Linked DNA regions of Bombyx mori. The main gene of each other region encodes a partner of the protein of the gene in region 3 in a complex. Links are inferred from orthologs where the notes say so. Each region holds a gene or a part of one and is shown on either strand. Other genes may lie near its edges. The genes, in order: eukaryotic translation initiation factor 3 subunit M, eIF3h and eukaryotic translation initiation factor 3 subunit J.

Region 1 (3,759 bases), on a different chromosome or scaffold from region 3:
TGTGATTTTTTATATAAAAGACAGACAGCCCAGGCCCACAGTGTAAAGATGGGTAGTAGTACTTATGCTGTGATATTAATTTTGGTAATAATTAAGCCTCGTGTGCACAGTGAGATTTTCTACTCATCTAAGAAAAAGTAATAAACATTGACTAACTATTTTGTGTGGGTCTTCATCTAAAGATGTAACAAATAATTCATGGTCACAAGCTACACCCTCTGCTATGAAATATTTGAATAACACTTTGCTGTACACACCAAGGACATCTTCCTCTGAAAAGTAAATAAGGTAATTGAAGTCCTTTCATTGGAATTAATAACAATGCGTTGTGTGAATATAAAAATCATATTAATCTTACTTTCTTAAAATGCAATGTATTGAAAATTAAATGAAGTTATGATAAAAAACTAAATATTTTTAATTTGATTATTTATTAAATTTCATATCCATATTTATTTATTAAATTTGTTTTGGCTCTAAGATATTATGCAATTTTAAAAGAAATTCACGAACCTACAACAAAAATGCTGCCTGCAGGTATTCCTCCACCTAGAAAGTGTAAAATTATATTTATTTTATTGATTTTTGTAAATATATGACAATAAAAACTTTTATAAATTAAATTTGTTCCCTACAATTGTTTAAAATTGATTTGATCTTGTTTTGCCAATCTAATCCATTAAACATAATAGTAAAACTTACCAACTATATGGTCTAAGGATGGAATACCGGAAGATACGTATGGTAGGTTATTTTTCACTTTTGTGCCATTTATATGCGTACTTATATCTATAAATTTTCGAAAACTACGCATTTTTTATTAATATATCAAGCCGATTTCTGTAAAATATTGTTTATCGATTAAAATTCACTACCTACGATGTAGGTATTTTTCTTTTTGAAGTTTTTGTGATTTGGTAACAAGACCTTTAAGCCAGATGTAGGTTTACAAATTTACGAGATATAGTTGCCACGATAACGGGTCTTTACCAATAAGTTACTGTTTTAAAATACCATTTGAAACGTAGTTTATGCATTTCTGACAGTAAATTCCTAATTCAACTGAATTTTTTATTAAAAGTCACAATTACTGTTTAGTGGTTTAGTGTCGGTATATTTCTTAAATTGTGTAGTTTTGTTCTTATCAAATGCCATAAGTATTACAGTGGATGTGTACTGTGAGGAACAAGGCACAATATTGGAGAAGCTCGGGAATCATATAATTTCCAAATTGAAGTCACACTAACACCTTATAATGCTCACGTTGCAATTCATTTCTCTTTATATCATTTTTCATAAAAACAATATACAAAAGATTAGGCTATATGTTATGATACCTTTGCCCTCTCAGTTGGAAAAACTAGAAATACTACTCTATTAACTGTCATATCGTTTGCCACATTTCGTTGCTAAGAAATCGTTCTTGCATTCACTTTAATGCTTATAAATAATAAATAAAAGAATACAGTTCAAAAAAGGAATTAAAATGCAAGGGCCAGCTGTGTTTATGGACATATCCCTGGAAGATCAGGTCAGTTTATGTCAACATAACCTGTCGTTCAAAACAAATTATTTGCTGCAATGTGTCTACATGCAAATTTTAATAAAATTTCTTTCTTGATTGAAGGCACTCGAACTGAGAAGATATTTTAAGAGCCTTGGCGCCGAGATTTCAGAAGAAAAATCACCTAAGGGCATTGAGGATGATCTGCATAAGATCGTTGGGGTTTGTGATGCTTGTTTCAAAGAGCCGAGTGAATCGGACATCGAAGCCATTCTGAACAGTATTGTCTCTATTATGGTTTCTGTAAGTTGAACGCAAAAGCTATAGTTATTTTTAATAAGAAACATCTAGGTGTACTTTAGCATTAATTAGAGTACTAAGCGGTAGGCAGCGACTTGGCTCTGCCCCTGGCATTGCTGAAGTCCATGGGCGACGGTAACCACCATCAGGTGGGCCGTGTGCTCGTCAGCCTACAAGGGCAATAAAAATAAATGTTTGATAGTTGACTCGCATACTTACATATATATTGCAACTAATATTCACAGATACCATTAGAAAGAGGAGAAAACCTTATCTTAGCATTTAGTCAAAGGCTCACTAAGGCTCCTGGCCCTAAACTTGGAATGGTAGCTTTGCAATCGTAAGTATATAGAGGTTTTTTTAACTATGCAAGTAACCTTTATTATTCAACCAACTACATCACTTATCAGATCTTAGTTACAAAGATTTAAGTGAAATCACAGGTTTAAATCCATCATGACATAGGGAATAAGGCTTTTTATTTCTTGCCCATAAATGTTTAAAAATGAATGTTGCAATTTTTATTTTTTTATAATTTATTTAAATGTCAAATAAACAATATTTTAAAATCATTAAGGACAGAAAAAAATGTGTCAAATAAATTTACTTATTTTTGGGATTAAATGGATCCAATGTACATGTCTTCACTACATAGTATAAAACAAAGTCTCTTTCTCTGTCCCTATATCCCTATGTATGCTTAAATCTTTAAAACTACGCAATAAAATTTGATGCAGTTTTTTTAATAGATAGAGGCATTGAAGAGGAAGGTTTATATGTATAATAACATCCATTAAATAGTGGAGAAATCAATAATAAATTACAGTTTCCGAAGCGAAGCGAGGGCGTGTCGCTAGTAAAATATAATAAAAATAGATCCTAGAATTCCAAATTGGTATTTTATAGAATTGAAGCAGAATATGTATTAATGATTGTTAGGGAAAAATGCATAAGGCTTACAGAAATGCTTGATGCTTGTGTGTGAATGGAAGTATGATTAAGTAATAGTATATTCATCAAAAGTTTTAATTGTGGCACAAAAAGTGGAACTGCTGACAGGAAAGTAATGAAAAAAAATTTATACCAAATAATCACCCAGCAGTATTTAGTTTAGGACAATCACTTTCATCCACATGAAAGATAGTAATTTTGCAAAATGTTTGTTTCATAGGTTATGGAGACTTTACAACAACTTAGAACCCAACTCACCTCTAAGATACCATGTATATTATCATGTCATAGAACTGGCTGCACGAGTTGGATTTGTCAGGGAAGTCTTCACTGGGGTTGAGCAGCTTAGGAAAGAGTTTGCTAACTGCCCACCCTCTAATGAACAAATGCAGAAATTGTATCGGCTTTTACATCAAGTGTTAAAAGACCAAAACAGGTATGTTCTCACTACATTAAATTTATTAAACAATGACCATATTATTTCTATGAGTGATGTACCAAAGTCTGATTGCTTGTTAAGGAAACATTGTTATTAATATTTCTCAAAATAGCAAACATATTTCACCAAAAGAGATTCTATGTTTAGAATTATGTTTTGCTATTTGAAAATTATTTTAGTACTATTCATTTTGTGTTATTTTTTTTTTTTTTATTGCTTGGATTGCTGGACGAGTTCACAGCCCACCTGGTGTTAAGTGGTTACTGGAGCCCATAGACCTCCACAACGTAAATGCGCCACCCATCTTGAGATATAAGTTCTAAGGTCTCAAGTAAGTTGCAATGGCTGCCCCACCCTTCAAACCGAAACGCATTACTGCTTCACGGCAGAAATAGGCAGGGTGGTGGTACCCACCCGCGCGGACTCACAAGAGGTCCTACCACCAGTAATTACGCAAATTATAATTTTTGCGGGTTTGAATTTTATTACACGATGTTATTCCTTCACCGTGGAAATCAACCGTGAACACTTGTTGAGTACGTATTTCATTAGAAAAATTCGAACA
Region 2 (3,759 bases), on a different chromosome or scaffold from region 3:
AGCCAAGCAAAACAATAGAAAATTAATTAGTAAAAGATTCGTTTTAAGCTTTGAAATAATCAATTCTGCACAACAGGAACAAATTTTTTCACCACATAGTTCTAAGCTTTGTTTTTTTTATTGCCCTTGTAGGTAGACGAGCACACGGCCCATGTGATGGTGAGTGGTTACTGTCGTCCATGGATAGAGCCAGGGGCAGAGCCAGGCCGCTGCCAACCAGTTTATACTCTCCACAAGCTTCGTTTGAAGAAGGCGTTGTTATAGTTGTCGGGAAACACCGTGGAGGGGAGCTTATTCCAAAGCCGGACGGTACGTGGCAAAAAGATCTCTGGAAACGCCCTGTGGATGACCGCAGTAGTTCCAGGAATTATGGATGAACTCTATTCCGGTGGCGGGCGGTGTGATGGTAAAAACGAGATGATGGTTTCATGTCTAACAATTCCTTAGAGCACTCCCCATGGAACATACGGTGCAAAATAACAGAGTGAACCCAAGTCCCTCCGCAGACACAGAGGTTCCAAACGATCCGTGAGAATGGGATTATCGACAATCCGAACGGCCCTCCTCTGTATGGAGTCAAATGGAAGAAGCTGGTATTTGGGAGCCCCCGAACGGCTCTCTTCTGTATAGAGTCAAATGGAAGTAGCTGGTTTTTGGGAGCCCGGCCCAGAGGTCGGAGTAGTACTCCACACGAGGCCGGACCTGTGCTTTGTAGAGCGAGAGTCTTAAGCAAAAGTCGTAAGTTAACAAAATGTTCCATAAGGTACAACCTAATAAATAAACGATTAATTACAAATTGACGAACGGTAAAATATAAATACAGCGATAACGCGAATTGATACCACTTCCTTATTAAAGCAAATAATGAGACCTCACGTCTATAAGTGTAATTCGAGCCATATCACTTAACTTTATAGTATTTTTTTTAATTCAAAATCTGTAAGAATGTAATACAATTTATACATGGATAATAGAAAAAGATTGAACAACATTTGAGATTTATCATATAAATAAAAAATCTTTTAAACCTTAATTTTTATCATTACTAAAAATGGATTTGTTAAAGAATATTTACAAGATCATAATGCATTAATTGTTTTACATTTATACCGTAAACATTAGGATTAACTATCATTGTGATCCATAGTACAATACGCAAAATTACGGCACTTATTTATTGCATTGTAACTGGGATATAAAAACTACTATATTAATCTCATTAGCGTGTGTATGTCTTCGTATACCTACTCTTTTTAAAACCCAGAAATTTGTAAAAACTGGTATATAGTTCCAACAGTGTTTAAGTTTAATCGAGATGTGATATTCGTGGTAGTATTTTTAAAGGCTAATCTGTCGTATAGTGTCGATTGCAAATAAGGTATCGATTACAATTATCGATAGCTATTGATAGTCGATTTGGAGAGCTACACTAAAATGTAATCAAATCAAACGTTCTCTTGTGAATTAAAAATGGCGAGCCGTGCTGGTTCAGCTAGACGCGCTCCTGAAAATGAAGCGACGATCCAATATGTTCAGTGCGATGGACTGGTAAGTAAATTTAAAATTAAAGTTTAGATAGGTTCTCTGAGACGGACGTCAACTGTAGGTTTTAAATTAAAAACTTTGTGAAAGTTCGTGCCTCGACACGTCATGTATTTTTACCATTTAATTAATATATAGAAGTAAACATCGTCAATTAAGGTGGATTATTATGATCTGGAACATGATTCGTGTTGTATGATTTTAGGAGATCTTAGATTACAATAAAATAGGTTGCCGTTGCAATAATAAAGATAATTGTATAGGTTATGTTTTCAATTTTGTGCTCTCGTTTCTTTTTAAATAAATCGGGCAAACGTTGACAATTCACCAAACCTTGAATAATTCGTTATGTTAATTTCTATAGGATTCTATGAACCAAAAAACTTTCGATATAAAAAGAAAATAAAAGACTACAAAGGTTTTTTATTTCTGTTTACAACATATAAACGTTGTTGAGTCATTGACTGTTTTGGGACATTTGCCCTGAGCCCGGGGGTCATTGAAATAGGAGGATGATCTCACCTAACTGTACATCTAAAACATTAAATTTTCTCTGAACTATATAATTAGTGTTTTAAACTATGCTTCATTACAAAGTTTAGATCTTGATAGTATATGTGAAGTCATTTTTTGTTATATACTATACTACTATTTACTGATAATTTTATAGTTTCCTAACTGTAAATGATTGAGATTAGTTTTTGTTCTGATTGATTGCAAATAGCAAGCTGATTGATTTCCTACACATACACAGAAAGTTAATATAGCAATAATTTATTAGGGATGGGTAGGTATTAATTTGTTTTGTTAAACTTGTTACACATTAAAGTGTATTTTAACTTGCCTTGAATAATATCCTCTCTGAAGTTATTTAGTTGAAACATGCTTAAAGTAGTGGTAAAACAGTTTAATATGTGGTAATCAAACAAATCCTCATCGAACTAACTCAAGCATTTGAAATGACAGATCTGCTCCCACTTTTATAATATATTTGTGCTTTTTATTTTAGGCAGTGATGAAAATAGTGAAACACTGTCATGAAGAATCATGCAGCAACATGGAGGTGGCTCAGGGAGCTCTCCTTGGTTTGGTCGTTGAGAACCGTCTGGAGATTACCAACTGCTTCCCATTTCCAAAGCATGACGACACCATGGATGAGGAGGAATACCAGTTGGACATGATGAGGAGGCTTCGAAGAGTCAATGTTGATCATTTTCATGTTGGATGGTAATTAATATTGAAAATTGTTTTATAGTATGTCAAAATATGTCATACAATATTTTAAATTAGAACAGCAGAACTTTCTTTTTTCTTATACCTCATATCTTTCTTCAGGTACCAGAGTGCAGATGTAGGCAATTTTCTAAGCCTTTCGTTATTAGAGTCACAATATCACTATCAGACCTCTATTGAGGAGAGTGTTGTTGTGATTTACGATACAAAGAAATCAGCCAGAGGATTCTTGACTTTGAAGGCCTATCGTTTGACACCTCAGGTAATTAAGCTCTCATAACTATACACATTTTAAAGTGCTAATGTTGTTAATTGAGCTTTATGACAGAACTAATTTCTGAAGTTGAGCTATTTTATTTATTTATATTACGTATATTTAGTGAAGTTATCACTTGTTAATGCTAAGTGAATGGCAGAATCTATATTTTTGAGATATTTTAAATGTTTTTTATGGGGATACTATCTAAGTGGTCCATGCAACCTGCAGATATCACAACATGAGTGCATTAAGCGGTAGGCAGCGGCTTGGCTCTGCCCTTGGCATTGCTGAAGTCCATGGGCGATGGTAACCACTCACCATCAGGTGGGCCGTATGCTCGTCTGCCTACAAAGGCAATAAAAATAATAAAAAAAAATATATTTGATGTCTCACCATTAAACCAGAATGAATGTATGATTCCCAGCAAATATAAAGAGGATGGTAATGTATGTTCTTATACACATGTCTTAAGATGTAAGACTGTTCTCAATCCTTAAACACATTATTATTACGTGCAGAAATAATAGTAACTTGGACTCACAATATGCTCATCAACAAGCAAGTAAATTATTGTTGTTTTTTTTTTATATTTATATTGTGAAAACATTATGTATAGTTGGGTGTTCATGTATGAATAAGAATATATGTAAAATTGAGGTTAATACTTACTTTACAGGCTATTGCTATGTACAAGGAAGGCGATTACACTCCGGAAGCACTACGTA
Region 3 (3,661 bases):
AGGTCAAAAAAAAGGACGAGTACGACATCAAACACGCAACAACCAATACCTCAATTCCGTCCACCCCAGTGCTACACCGCTCAGCGTTGAGTGCATCTCAACATGCTCTAACACCATCACACACAAATGTATGTACTGTCTGGTGTTTTTAAATGCGTACAAAAATATTTCTGTCAATACAACACATCAGAGAAAACTATAATAGACTCAAATCTATTTTTTGTGATGTAGGGATAGCTGGCGGTCCCAAGGTCTTTCTAGTTTCAATAGCTAAAACGGCTAAATGAGTACGAAATAGTCTTGGGAGCTTCAAAATACACAACGAGAACACTCTTTTTAATTAGGAAAATACATTATTTTACTCTTAAATTAAAATACAAAACAATTTTTTTAAACTTGTAATATTTTTCTATTCGTTTCATTTCACCATTTATACTGATAGCTGACAAGATTTTTCATAAAATGATCCTGTATAGGCTAAGACCCTTTCGCCTGTTTCGTGAGATAAATAAAATATAACACTGTCGGCCATATTGAAAATTTTAGTAAATCGGGAATTATCGTCTGCAATGGATTCTTACTTTTCTAAATCAATTTGTGAACATACGTCTGTTGGGGCTTCGCCAATATTATGTCATTTGTTCATTGTTTTTCAATCCGACCGTGATAATTGCAGAAAATCGTCTTCAGTTTGACGAATTACACTCGAGTTTTGTTGTTGTCTAGAAAACGACGACTCTGGAGACATCTTGTGAGTGATAAGTCACTGTCGATAGTTGTCCGATTTTGGTGTTCAGGTGAAAAGTTTTCATATTAATTCAGCTGCTGATTCTGGAGTCCTAAAAATGGACGTGTCATGGGGTACGTACTGTTTAATACAATAACAAAATAGATTTTATAAATATCTACATTCGTAATGTCAATCGTGGTACATTCCAGACGCAGATAACTTCGAGCCCAAACTCCCGACCACGTTGGCAGCTTCCAACAAATGGGAAGGGGAAGACGAGGATGATAACGTAAAGGTAATCATTGGTGTGCCAAGTAGTTTGTATACAGTGTTCTAACTTCTAAATGTATTACGAATCTTCTCAAAACAGTACATAACCTAAATGACTGCCTACGTGTTGACGTCAGACTTTATTCGCAGGAAAGCTGGGAGGATGAGGAGGAGGAAAAGAAAGACGAAGAAAAGACTGAGGCAGCGCCACCTCCACAACCGAAACCTAAAAAGAAAATACACGATAAAATAGCCGAAAGAGAGGTATAGTGCTTTTAAAACATATGTTTAATGATTTAGAGATTTTATAGTCTAAACTCTACTAGAATAGCTTCTAGTTTATAGAATAGATAATTATAATTATATGGTAACATAAATTACTACCCATTTAGTGGTATTTTAACACATGAACTTAATAGTTTTGTTACACATAAACTTGGTAATGTTGAGCATTGTTGAAGCCAATTGCATCCTCTATTAACCAAAAGTTGTCTAAAAATAATTTTAAAACATTTAATTGCATTGTATACATACCAAAAATAGAAATAAGATTTGAAGGAAAAATAATATATGTAGTCTATTGTAAAATTTAAGACTTAATATATAGACACTGATATTTATTGCCTGCTTCGCCATGATCATCCATCTAGTGGAATAGATAAAATATGCACTCCATTTGAAATCAGTTTAAATGTTCTTTTTTTTATAATACCAATCACTGGCAAATTATCTTAATTATCATCTTCTTCTTTGTTCTTTCTCTCTCTGCTGGGGTGTAGGGCTCGAATCATATTCTTTCGTTTGCAGTCAATGGTATTTTTTTAATTAATAGTGAAGAAAAAACTGATAAATAAAAAAAACTAAATCTGTTGACAAACAGAAGAGAAAATTTTATTTAGCTTTTTATTGTACCCATCTATGTATAAATTAGATTCACATAATCATTAGATACCTATCGAGTTTAACATTAGCCAGTGTTTGTCTAAAATTTGTTTTGCAAAAGTCATTGACGCTTATTTATATAAAATTCGTGGAGATAACTTATTATATTATGAAATTACAGTAACTGTATGTACTGCTCTGATGCAAATTTCAACTATAAATATTTACACAAAAAATAATTAAAAAGGACAAGTTAAATACAAATAATTTATAATAAATATCAAGGTTCCAGTATGCATAAAGAAGGTTAACAAGATAGATTACTCATGGATTATCATCACCTTGCAATTAATATTAAATTCATTTGACAGCATAAAATATCAGAATAATAATTAAAATATATTAAGAACCCATTAATTATTAATATTTAAAAAACAACAGAAAAGAAATCTGGTGCTAGTGAGGGTGTTCCTGTTAGGTAACATAAAAAGTGGAATTTAAAAATAACATTTTGCTAGCAATTGTTCACTCAGTAATGATAGCTGACGATCCCACTCAGTCATCATATATCATCTTCCTTGACATATTGTGTGTCAACATCTGGTTATGACTGATTATGTGCTCAAATATGGTTAGGGAAGCCACATTTTGTCTTGAAGGGTCTGTTGCAGGGTGCACAATACAACAGCCCATCAGCATTCTACATAAAGTATAGGAGGAAGGCCAAATTTTGTATACACTTTTTTTTTTCAAATCTTGAGACAGCTTTGTGAGCATATCTGTATCATTCTGGACTCCGTTGTGTGCGATATTAGACACAGTTGGATGACATTCTAAAACATCCCCTGTAACATTAGCATTGCCCTCCAGGTGCTCACTGTTCATAATTCAGCTGTTAGTAAAAGACAAATCTAGGAAACTTAGAGTCATCCACACTTGTTGGAAGTGCTTCAATACTATTTACCTTCATCCTCAATATCTCAGTTTGAGACTTGATCTTGCCGCTTTATGCAAAGTATGGATGTTACACACTTTATGTTGATGGTGTTGCTTGATATCACCTCTGTAGTCCTGGTGGCATAAAGCGTATTGCTTTATTACCTTATATACAGCGATCATTGTGTGCAGACAAAGGTCATGTGAGGCCCTGACTCTTTTGCACAGCATTCAACACCCTTTGCAATTCATGAGGAATTTGTATTAAAATTTTGTATAGGGTATGACAATATTAAGTTAAAGGTTAACTTACATCATGTTTGGGATAATAACCAAATCTAAAATACGATAATTCACCAGAAAAATGAACATAGTTTCATAACTTCATAGAATTGACAGGCTATAGTTGCTCTTGAATTGATATAATATCCATAATATTTAAATTATAAAATTTTACTAGCGACAAGAACGTGAGAAGGCTGAACGTCTCGTGACAGAGAAGACTGCAGAAGAAATGACTCCAGAGCAGAAGTTGGCTGAGAAACTTCGCCAGCAGAAGCTACAGGAAGAATCAGATTTGCGACTAGCCATGGAAACCTTTGGTATGCTTGATTGATTTGGTGTGCTCGTATTACAGTTTGTGGATTCCAAAATAAGATTCATTTTAAGCAATAATTAGTAGACATTCTAAAAGAGGGTTTATAATCCCTAATATAATGAAGTTGTTGTGGCCTAATGGATAAGATGTCCGGTGCATTCGTGTTGAGCGATGTACCGATGTTCGAATCTCAGGCGGGTACCAATTTTTCTAATGAAATACGTACTCAGCAAATGTTCACGACT

What was found.
Region 1: eukaryotic translation initiation factor 3 subunit J (region 3) and eukaryotic translation initiation factor 3 subunit M share a complex: the UniProt entries of both Drosophila melanogaster proteins name them as parts of the eukaryotic translation initiation factor 3 (eIF-3) complex. The link is inferred for Bombyx mori from reciprocal best matches to the Drosophila melanogaster genes eIF3j and eIF3m.
Region 2: eukaryotic translation initiation factor 3 subunit J (region 3) and eIF3h share a complex: the UniProt entries of both Drosophila melanogaster proteins name them as parts of the eukaryotic translation initiation factor 3 (eIF-3) complex. The link is inferred for Bombyx mori from reciprocal best matches to the Drosophila melanogaster genes eIF3j and eIF3h.

Annotation. Positions count from the first base shown.
Region 1 is NC_085119.1:6,794,500-6,798,258, forward strand, and holds the start of eukaryotic translation initiation factor 3 subunit M, read left to right. Parts: upstream 1-1,346; 5' UTR 1,347-1,486; coding exon 1,487-1,531; intron 1,532-1,627; coding exon 1,628-1,807; intron 1,808-2,049; coding exon 2,050-2,144; intron 2,145-2,975; coding exon 2,976-3,191; intron 3,192-3,759. UniProt on the Drosophila melanogaster protein: Component of the eukaryotic translation initiation factor 3 (eIF-3) complex, which is involved in protein synthesis of a specialized repertoire of mRNAs and, together with other initiation factors, stimulates binding of mRNA and methionyl-tRNAi to the 40S ribosome.
Region 2 is NC_085110.1:3,930,273-3,934,031, forward strand, and holds the start of eIF3h (eukaryotic translation initiation factor 3 subunit H), read left to right. Parts: upstream 1-1,454; 5' UTR 1,455-1,470; coding exon 1,471-1,548; intron 1,549-2,551; coding exon 2,552-2,769; intron 2,770-2,877; coding exon 2,878-3,037; intron 3,038-3,710; coding exon 3,711-3,759. UniProt on the Drosophila melanogaster protein: Component of the eukaryotic translation initiation factor 3 (eIF-3) complex, which is involved in protein synthesis of a specialized repertoire of mRNAs and, together with other initiation factors, stimulates binding of mRNA and methionyl-tRNAi to the 40S ribosome.
Region 3 is NC_085125.1:12,538,177-12,541,837, forward strand, and holds the start of eukaryotic translation initiation factor 3 subunit J, read left to right. Parts: upstream 1-746; 5' UTR 747-845; coding exon 846-861; intron 862-939; coding exon 940-1,025; intron 1,026-1,150; coding exon 1,151-1,264; intron 1,265-3,278; coding exon 3,279-3,420; intron 3,421-3,661. UniProt on the Drosophila melanogaster protein: Component of the eukaryotic translation initiation factor 3 (eIF-3) complex, which is involved in protein synthesis of a specialized repertoire of mRNAs and, together with other initiation factors, stimulates binding of mRNA and methionyl-tRNAi to the 40S ribosome.